Linked DNA regions of Canis lupus familiaris. The protein of the gene in region 2 interacts with the protein of the main gene of each other region in a pairwise test. Links are inferred from orthologs where the notes say so. Each region holds a gene or a part of one and is shown on either strand. Other genes may lie near its edges.

The links.
Region 1: the proteins of NMI (region 2) and GCSH interact in binary tests that used the Homo sapiens proteins (3 or more experiments, as listed by UniProt). The two-hybrid records come from large-scale screens. The link is inferred for Canis lupus familiaris from reciprocal best matches to the Homo sapiens genes NMI and GCSH.
Region 3: the proteins of NMI (region 2) and BRMS1 interact in binary tests that used the Homo sapiens proteins (3 or more experiments, as listed by UniProt). The link is inferred for Canis lupus familiaris from reciprocal best matches to the Homo sapiens genes NMI and BRMS1.

What each region holds. Positions count from the first base shown.
Region 1 is NC_049226.1:71,304,422-71,308,175, reverse strand, and holds the start of GCSH (glycine cleavage system H protein, mitochondrial), read right to left. Parts: upstream 2,479-3,754; 5' UTR 2,447-2,478; coding exon 2,299-2,446; intron 1-2,298. UniProt on the Homo sapiens protein: The glycine cleavage system catalyzes the degradation of glycine. The H protein (GCSH) shuttles the methylamine group of glycine from the P protein (GLDC) to the T protein (GCST).
Region 2 is NC_049240.1:54,258,465-54,262,118, forward strand, and holds part of NMI (N-myc-interactor), read right to left. Parts: intron 1,200-3,654; coding exon 1,037-1,199; intron 1-1,036. UniProt on the Homo sapiens protein: Acts as a signaling pathway regulator involved in innate immune system response.
Region 3 is NC_049239.1:51,473,086-51,475,752, reverse strand, and holds part of BRMS1 (breast cancer metastasis-suppressor 1), read right to left. Parts: coding exon 2,571-2,667; intron 2,497-2,570; coding exon 2,406-2,496; intron 2,238-2,405; coding exon 2,110-2,237; intron 1,931-2,109; coding exon 1,851-1,930; intron 1,764-1,850; coding exon 1,667-1,763; intron 1,061-1,666; coding exon 968-1,060; intron 1-967. UniProt on the Homo sapiens protein: Transcriptional repressor. Down-regulates transcription activation by NF-kappa-B by promoting the deacetylation of RELA at 'Lys-310'. Promotes HDAC1 binding to promoter regions.

The DNA.
Region 1 (3,754 bases), on a different chromosome or scaffold from region 2:
ACAGGCAGAGGGAGAAGCAGGCTCCATGCAGGGAGCCCAATATGGGACTTGATCCCAGGTCTCGAGGATCACGCCCCGGGCTGAAGGTGGTTGAGCCACCCAGGGATGGCTAAATCTAAACCTTTTAAAAGCAACCCTAAATCTATACCTTTTAAAAGTAACAACTAGAGCGGCCTGGGTGGCTCAGCAGTTTAGCGCCGCCTTCAGCCCCAGGTGTGATCCTGGAGACCTGGGATTGAGTCCCACATCCGGCTCCCTGCATAGAGCCTGCTTCTCCCTCTGCCTGTGTCTCTGCCTCTCTCTCTCTCTCTCTCTGTGGTCTCTCATGAGTAAATAAATAAAATCTTTAAAAAAGAAAAGAAATTAAAAAAATAAAGTAACAACTGGACAACTATAAATATGACTTCTCTGAGACTGCTGTATCAATTTGAGCCTTGCCATCTTGCCTAATTGTAAAGATAATCTTAGGAATAAGGTTGCTCACACTCAGTTTAGCAACTGAGCAACCACAAGTTTAGAATGAAAGACAGCAAGATTAGTAAGGTAAATGCCTGCAAGTCCACTTAATTTAAAAAGTCTGCAAGACTCTACAAGGCCAAGCTATTTAGGCTAAAGACAATGATTAGTTTAATTCTCCTTTAACCCTCCTCAGCCCAAGAGGATAAAAGTGGACAGGTCAGGTAAATAATTACTTTCTTACTGAGCCTTTAAAAACATCATATTTGGCTTCATAATGAGGTGTTTTCAGTAATTCAGGAGAAGTCTGCATTTTCCTCCTTTCAGAGTCATCAGGGGGCATCTGGCTGGCTCAGTAGTTGGAGCATATGACTCTTGATCTCAGGGTTGTAGTTCAGCCTCAGTATTGAGTGTGGAGCCTACTTTAAAAAGTATGTGTTTTAAAATCACTAGTCACCAGCGCCTGGGTGGCTCAGTGGTTGAGCATCTGCCTCCGGCTCAGGGCGTGATCCCTGCTCTCTGCCTTTATCTCTGCCTCTGTCTCTCATCAATAAATAGATCTTAAAAAATAAAATAAAAGAAAATAAAGTCACTAGTCGGATAACAAATATTGGCCAATTTTTACCTACTTGATTCTATAATATTTAGTAACATTTACCAAATTCATTTCATCCGCCCAACAACTCTGTATGGTAGAGGTATTATCATTTCCATTTTTCTGATGAGGGAAAACAGACTAAGAAGTTAAGTGACTCTGCCCAAGATCACATAATTAGTAAGAGGTAGGGCTGAAATTGGAACTTGGGCCTCTGTTCTTAAAAACCCTGGTTGAACACCAGATCATGGGTATTGATATTTTGGACAATATTTAACTAGGTAACTGGAAAGTGCAAAAACCCAGCAGTAGTGTCACACTTACCAAAAAAAAAAAAGATGCCTTGAAATTCACTTCTTCTCTGCGATATGCTTTCCCTTTGTATTCAAATTGGTAATTATTGATATGTGTCACCAACAGAACTAAAGGAATGTGTTAGCAACGACAGAGAAGCATCTTTATGTTTCGGACTGGAGTAAATGTTATCAAACCTTCCACTTCCAAACAGGTTTGTAAAACAGTGAAATTAATGAGACAACAGCCATCACAGACCTATATGCATCCCTAAGAAGCCTCAATTCCTGGAGGCGCAGTTGGCGTCTCATGCCCTCGGGCACGCAGTAAGAAAACTTTTTCTGCTGCAGCAATTGCTCTGAAGCGTCAAGTAGCACAGATGGCCAGGGCGGGCGTGGGCAGGGCCCCGGTTATTCCAACCCCAAGTCCGTGTGAGCCCTCATTTCTGTCCCAACACATCCAGGACTCAATACAGACTTTCGCAGAATGTCTGAGAGTCCAAAAGACTTCATCTCACTGTTTTTAGGAAATAGCTGAGCCCTCAACGTCACGCTCACTTTTTTGCTAGTAAAAATCTAGCTCCAGTGCTTTAATTTCATTAAGTGCCCTTGCTTTGATTTTACCTCGGAGTTCTCAGTGACGTCCACGTAGCGAACCGAAGCCCACCATGCCCCCACTCTCAGGGCCTAACGATGCACACCCGCGAGCTCACCACCTGAGGTCGCGGCGGCTTAGCGACGCGGCCCGGTCCTCCACGGCGAGCGAAGGGGCCCGCCCCGGGCGGCCGCGCGTGTGCCCCGGGCTCCCCGGCCCGCAGGGGCAGGGCTGCGGCGTGGGCCACGCCACCCGGAGGCTGCAGGGCGCGCCCCGGCGGGAGGACGCAGCGTGAGCCGGCCGGTCGGCCCGTCGCCCCCCGCAGCCCCGCCCGCCCCCACGTGCCCGCCCGCGCTTACCCGAGAGCAGAGCGGGGCCCGTGCGCAGCGTCCGGACGGCGCCCGCCCTCGGCCCCCAGGGCCGCGGCAGGCCGGGCGCGGCGGACACCGAGGCGACCCGCAGCCCGCACGCCGCAGCCCGCACGCCCCGCACCGCCAGGAGCGCCATGTTCGCAGAGGTGCGGAGGGCGCTGTGCGAGCGGCTCGGGCGCCCCGGCCGGCGGGGGCGGGGCCGCGGCGGCCGCGGACCGGAGAAAGCCGGAGCCAGCCGGCTGGGCCGGGGCGGGGGGCGGGGGGCGGGGGGCGGGGCCCGGCCGGGGGGGCGGGAACTCCGAGCCGGGCGCGGCCTCGGATAGGGCGGCGCGCGCGCGGGGGGCGGGGACATGCAGAAGAGCAGGAGCCGCGGCCGGAAGGGGCTGGGGGCGGGGGGCGGGGGACGGGGCCTGGGCCGGGGGCGGGGCCTCGTACCCGGGAGCCGCTGGGCCCGGGAGTGAACGTGCGAGGTCGGCCTCCCGCTCCGGCAGCGCGGGAGGGGTTCCCGGCAGCGATGGCTTCGCGGGATGCGCATTCCTGTAGCAGGGGGGCCCTGAGGCCTCAAGGAAGGTATAGGGTGTCCCCAGGCCTGTCAGAGGATCAAGGTCACCCAGAGCACGGCTCAGAGCCAGGTCTAAACGGAGTCATTCCAAAGAAGACAGTCGGGCATTGGCCAAAGGAGTTCAGACACGGGGTGTCTCTTTGACATTTCAAAATGCTGGAGACAGTCCGGGAACCCACGTTATTACTTTACAGATGCCAAGAGGCCTGGGTCCCCCAAACGGACAGACCGAATCATGAAGCTCATAATGGTGCAGGGACTTGCCTGATGGGGTGAGGTGGGAGCCAGCCGATGCAGGAGCAATCAGACGGCAAGGCTGAAACCCAGCGTGGTCAGTTCCTTGCTTACCTAGCCAGCCCTGTGACCGGGGCCTCTCCAGAAAGGCCGAAGGCATGTCCCCATCCAAGGAGACAGAAAATAAGTTCTGGGAAAGGCCTCAACTTCAACACAAATTAACTGGAGTGGGCGGGAATCAGCAAAGAAACCCCAGAGTGAAAAACATCTTAAGCTCCAGATCTTCATTATTCGGGGGTGGCCACCTAAAAGTGTGTGTGTGTGTGTGTGTGTGTGTTTGTGTGTGTGTGTACGCAGGGCTGTTTGGGAGACTCGTGTTGTTGCACCGAGCTTCCACGTCCCTCACAAAACGGGCACTGTCGTCAGCACGTCTGTGCAGTGGCTTGCAAGGGCTGTCGTGCTGCATTTTCCGTTCCCCTGCTATGTGCCTAGGTCAGTGCAAACATTACCTTTTTAGTCCTCTCCAAACCCCGTTCTGATACCTATTACTTTCATTTCATAGGTGAAGAGCTGGAGGCTTAGAAAGGTTAAAAGACTTGCCCAGAAAGGAGTGGGGAAAGCATTCATGGCTTAGTTAAGCAGCTACTA
Region 2 (3,654 bases):
AATCCCATATCTAGAAATGGGCAACGTTGGCACTGAAGGCCAGATTGTCCTCCCTAGCGTGCCTCCGGCTCGGAACAGGGTCCTACAGCAGACTCAGCAAACGTCAGGGCCCGTTTCCAAATCGCTGACTCTTGGGCTCTTTCCATTCACTGGTCATGTACCCTTAGGCAAGTCACTTACACACCCAAGAATCTGTGTCCTTAGCTATAATATGTAAATAGTAACTCTCAGGATCCCTGGGTGGCTCAGCGGTTTAGCACCTGCCTTCTGCCCAGGGCATGATCCTGGAGACCCGGGATCGAGTCCCCTGTCGGGCTCCCTGCATGGAGCCTGCTTCTCCCTCTGCCTGTATCTCTGCTTCTCTCTATATATATCTCTCATGAATAAATAAATAAAATCTTTAAAAATAAGTAAATAAATAGTAACTCTCCTCTCGGTCATGTGAGCGTAAGAGGAGCCATCTGTGAGAACTCTGGGGGAAATCTATGGAGCTCTATCAGCTTAAGACATTCTTGCTAACACCATTTGGAGGTAGCAGGTGGAGCAGAGAGACACTGGTATTGGACGTCACAACACCTGGGCTTGAGTCCCAGGGTTGTCATGTTCTCAACAGGTGATCACATTCACGGCAGTTAATGTCCCAGTTTTCTCATCATCAAATGAGGATAATCCTGTCTGCCCCAAGGTATCGCCATGAGATAAGATGAGATGAGATGAGATGAGATGATAGATGTAAAAATTTTAAAGCAATAGCCAAATATCTAAGAAAGCTCTTTGGAAGTCTCAGCGATTTCCAAAAGCAACATAGTAAAAAATTTTTTCAAGATTTATTTATTTATTTATGATAGACAGAGAGAGAGAGAGAGAGACAGAGACAGAGACACAGGAGGAGGGAGAAGCAGGTCCCACGCCGGGAGCCCGACATGGGACTCGATCCCGGGACCCCAGGATCGCACCCTGGGACAAAGGCAGGCGCCAAACCACTGAGCCACCCAGGGATCCCCAACATAGTCAAATTTTTGAACATTACTCATACCTTCTTCTCTTTCAAAGGTGATAAGAGCTTGCCCTTTCTGTAGCTCATAAAAAATTGGCGAGCTCACTTGAAATGAACAGGAGATGTTTAAAAACTGGCTGTCAGTCTCAGGGTTCTCTAAAGATGTGAACTTCACCTTTGTTTCAGGAATATCCTCTTTAATCTAATTTAAACAGAAATGTTTGATTAAAATCAAGACAAGAAATAACTTAAGCCCTTCTTGTGATAATGTGATTTGATCGTCCAATAATTCATCCTCCACTGATTTCAGAATCCCACAGAATACCAAGTGCAGTCTTATTTAATATCTTTAGTAATTACTAATTACTTCTTCCTAGGTAAGTACTCAGGAATGTAATCAGATGCTGATCCTTTAATATTATTTCCCAGATGAAATTATAAATATATAATCTCTCACTTTTTCTAATCAATATTTAAACTAGCCAATATTGTATGGTGTTAGATTCTAAAGCCTACATCACTCCTGTAGAGGAGCACCTCCTAAACAACCGTACTAATAATAGGCTCTGTTACAAGGGAATCATTAGACATACGTTCACGACAAAGCAGTATAAAATAGTTGAGTATATGCCATGTGTATTTTGATAGCTAACCCAGATAATTTCATCCCAAAAGAAAGTCTCCTGAATTATGTTTTAATTATCAAATTTAAATTCCCCTTTCTCCAACACCTGCCCATCAATTTTTTAACCATTATCAAACTTAGGTCTGTAAAAATGCAAAGGGACACCACCAACAAAATTCGTAAGACATACGCAACTATATATAAATGCACAAATGAATCTGTTGTTTGCATTTCTTTCTTCCTCTTTCTTTTTTTATTCCTGAGAGACACAGAGAGAGAGGCAGAGACAGGGGCAGAGGGAGAAGCAGGTCCCTGCGGGGAGCCCGACGTGGGACTGGATCCTGGGAATCTGGGATCCCGGCCTGGGCTGAAGGCAGACGCTCAACCGCTGAGCCCCCCAGACGCCCCATGTTGTTTGCATTTCTATTTCCCATAATCATTTTACACGCTGCAAGAAAATGTTTGTGTTCTCACAAAGGGGTTAGAAAGAGTCAATAAGTTATTTGACCTAATTTCACATTTCTCACATTTGCCCTGTATCTTCACACATAACCTCTGTAGAATTTGATTACTGTAAGTCCAATTTCAAAACAACTGGCAGTGTCTGAGAAAAGGCAGTGTTTCCCAATAATGTGGAAATACCCAATATACTCTGAAAAGTCGAGAGCTTTCTGGAAAAAAATCAGTGCCTGATTTTGGTCTTGGGCACACTTGGCCAGGAGCAACTCACCTATGCTCTCTAGACCTCAATTTCAGTCCTCTGGAAATTGGACTGGCTGAGCTGGCTGGGTTCCCAAGGCCCCGTGAGTTAGAGGGTGAAGTGACTCCTCTCCAGCCAGGACGGTAACGGAGTGTTCCCTACGTCCCATAAACACGGGAACCCCACTTCCAGATATTCAATATCCTACCCCGCATTTCAGAAACAAAAAGTGACAACGTTTTAAACATTTAAGTTGTTTAAATACAGGTGTTTGTTTGTTTGTCTGAACAATGAGTTGTTATGGACAAAAATGGGGAGAGGGGCACCTGGGTGGCTCAGTCGGCTAAGTGTCTGCCTTTGACTCAGGTCCTGAGGTCGAGTCCAGCATCGGCTCCTGCTCAGCAGGGAGTCTGCTCCTCCCCCTTCCCTGTGCCCCTACCCTCTGCTCATGCTCTCTCTCTCTTTCTGTTTCTCATTCTCTTGCTCTTTTTCAAATAAATAAATAAAATCTTAAAAAAAAAAGAAAAGAAAAGCAAAAAGGGGTGAAAAGTTATGTCTAATTCAAATACAGGAAAATTTCGGAGAGAATTTAAATGGTTGAAGACATATGTCCGATTTTTTAAAAAACTGTGAAATTCATTTAAATTACTTGGATTAGAAGAGCAATAAAGGAATTTAGTGAGAAGACCAATAATTTGATCCAAAAGTGACTGATAACGACCAATATTTTTTTTTGTTTTTGCATTAACGTACACATACATTAAAAAATAAAAGCATATACAAAAATTTTAAATGTGCATTATCAGAAATATACAGCCAGATGAAATTTTACAAAGTGATCACACGCATGTGACCAGAGCCCTGATCAATAAACAGAACATGACCAACACCCCAGAAGCCTCCTTTGGTTCCCTTGCAGTTCCTACCTGCCTCCAAGGGCAACCAGATGCTAACTTCTAACACCCTGCTCTTGTGCTTATTTAAATGCAAGCATACGATATGCCCTCGTTTATCTTTTTTGGCTCAACACTGTGCTTATGAAGTTCATCCATGAGGCTTGCATGTGGTTTTATTCTGTTCATTGTCACTGTGTCGTATTCCATTTTGTCAATACACTTCAAATTAATAATTCATTCTACTATGGAGAGTTGAGTTGTTTTCATTTTAGAGCTATTACAAACCATGGTGCCATCAAGGGCTACAATGTTTTTTATTTTTTTTTTAAAGACTTTATTTATTTGACACAGAGAGACAATGACCACAATGTTTCAAAGGTGAATTCTGTATCATTAAATTGCCTTTCTGAAGAATGGTGTCAATTAAAAATGTGAC
Region 3 (2,667 bases), on a different chromosome or scaffold from region 2:
CCCCTTAGTTCCTCCTCACTCCTCCCTCCAGTTTAAAGGTCAGTAGGTCAAAACCCAGGTCCCCCACTAGGGGACCTTGATCCCTCTATTCCCTGTCCCTTTAGTATCCCTTCATCTGGCCCCTTCTACACAGACTTCACAGTCTCTTCCATTCTAGAGACGACCCTCCTTTGGTCTCCCACTCCCTTCCAGAGTGGGAGGGTCTGCTCTGTCCTCTTGGGCTCTGTACCTGATGCCTCCACACCCTGACCTCCTGTTCAACCCACAAGTCCTCAAGGCCCAGACTCCTCCCTCCCTGCCTGCCCTGACTGCCATCACTGGGCGGCCAGTGTCCTGGGAGCCTGAAGGCTGCAGGAGTACCCGGGGGTGCAGGTGGAGGGCATGTGGATCCTGCTCCCATCTGTGGTGGGCTCTGCCAGGGAGGATGAGGGCTCAGCAAGCCCTGGGCTAAAGTGGCTCATGCCTAATGTGAGGCTGGGCAACTACTGTGTGGGATGTGGGTACCCCCAGCTTAGGCCACAGGGTTGCAGAGGACAGAGAAGCCATAGCTATTGGGGGGAAACCAGGAGAGGCTTCACAGAGGAGATAACAGGCACAGAGAGGCAGCAAGGCATTCCAAGAAGAGGGTGGGAAGTGAGAGAAGGCGGGGTGACGTGGTGTTGGTAGGAAAATCTAGGACCTGTTGGGAATATTGTGGGAAAGCCAAAAGAACCTCAAAGGAGACTTCCCTCAGGAAGTTATGGGGAGTCACTAAATGGATACTTCTGTTTCTCTATCCAGCCCAGGAGAGACCCAGGGCCTCACAGGAAATTCCTGACAGTTGGATTTGCCTGGACATGGCCACATGATGCCAAATGACCATAAACTGCCATAAATGACTGCCTTCCGTGTCCCCCCACCCCCTCCCTTGGTTTGGAGCTAACCCTGCTGTCCTGCCCAGGTCAGGCCGCCGTGGGTGGAAGGATACCAGAAACGAGAGGTGCCTTCTTCCTCTTGCTGGGTGGCAGGGAGTCCCAGGTCTTTGCGCTGCTTCTGGCGTGCAGTTTGTCATCCCACCACTCTGTGCCCCCAGACCCAGAGTCAGGATCAAAGAGCTGGCCATCCCTGGACACCCCACCCTTGTAGCTGTGTCCATCACGTGAGCCAGACCAGCCCCTACCCCTCCTCTCCCTCCCAGGCCAGTGGAGAGCACCCTGGGCCAGGGGCTTGGAAGCTGAGGCCAAGGCTAGATGGCAGAGCCATGCAACCCTGGGGAAGAGGTCACTGTACTTCTGTGAGCCTGGTTCCTTCATCTGTTTAGTGGGCAGTGTGACAATGACAATTCTGGCCTCCCTGGGATGCCATGTGAACACAGGCGCTGTGGACACGGAGGGAACTGTGGCTATTGTATGTGTGGGTGTGTCAGAATGACACCTCCTGTTCTGGAAAGAGAGCAGGGGCCAAGGAGGGCAGGGGGACCGTTCTTTCTGAGCCTCCTCTGTGCACCAGGCACTGGGCTGTGTCCTTTCTGTGCCTGGTTCCATTTAGGCCCCAGAGTGACACCATGAAGCAGGCTCTCCTACATGCTCCCTGTGTAGGCAGAGCAGCAGGTGGTGTGGGAGGGCAGGATGGGGGGTGGGTGGGAGGGGTGGGGGCATGGCTAGAACAGTGCCTAGTGCAGCCTCACCAGAGCTGATGTCCAGACTCTGGCGGTCCTCTTCCAGCCTCTGGATCCGCTCTTGCAGCTCCCCCTGCAGCGTGTCATAGAGCAGCAGCTTCTCGCTCTGGAAAGGGTGAAGGTGCTCAGCAGGGTGGCAGGGACAAGCCACCTTCCGTTCACCTCCCCCAGCCCAGCCCGCAGTCACATTCACCTCCAGGTGCTGTTTGGCTCCCTGCAGCTCACATTCGTACTTATTCCGGATCACGTCCAGACAGAAGCCCTTGTAGATCCCTGTAGAGGGAGGGAGATGGGAAGCCCTGCTTGGCCAGGGTCTCATGTGTCCAAAAGGGGGAGCCAGGAGCAGAGCTGGGCAGGAATGAGGAAAGAAGGGAACAGACAGCCATGGGCTCTGGCAGAGGAAGATGCGAGGAGGCCTGGGGTCACCCCAGAGCACAGGACAGCCCACAGACCTGCCACCTGAATGCGGATCTTGAGGCTCCGCTGCAGTCCCCCCAGAGGCTCTGTGTATTCAGGTGCTCTCTCAGCCCCCACTTCCTCCAGCCGCACCCTCAGCTGACTCAGCCGTTCCCTGAACAACCTGGGAGGGAAAAGGCAGCACATGTTTGTTCATCAGACACGTGGCTAAGCGCCTGCTCCATGGCAGGTCCCATGTGTCAGGCCCTTGGCTACCCCTGCCCAGCACCAGGCCCGCTGCCTCCTCACCCCAGGGGGCCTAAAGACCCAGCCCTAGACGCCCCGCGCTCACTTCTCCTTGAGCTCCGAGAACTGTTTCTCCAGGTCCAGCATCTCATTGACGCACTCGCTGCGACGCCGCTCATAGTCCTCGTCGTCCATCTCTGGGACAAGAGGCCAGTCAGCTCTGGCTGAGGAAAAGCGGGCGGACGCTTGTGTGCACATGTTGGGGGCTCACCTGAGCTCTCTTCCTCCGATTCAGTCTGGCTGCCGCTCCGCTCCTCCTCGCTCTCTTCCTCCTCCCCATTCATCTCAGCGGCCGAATCACCCTCTGC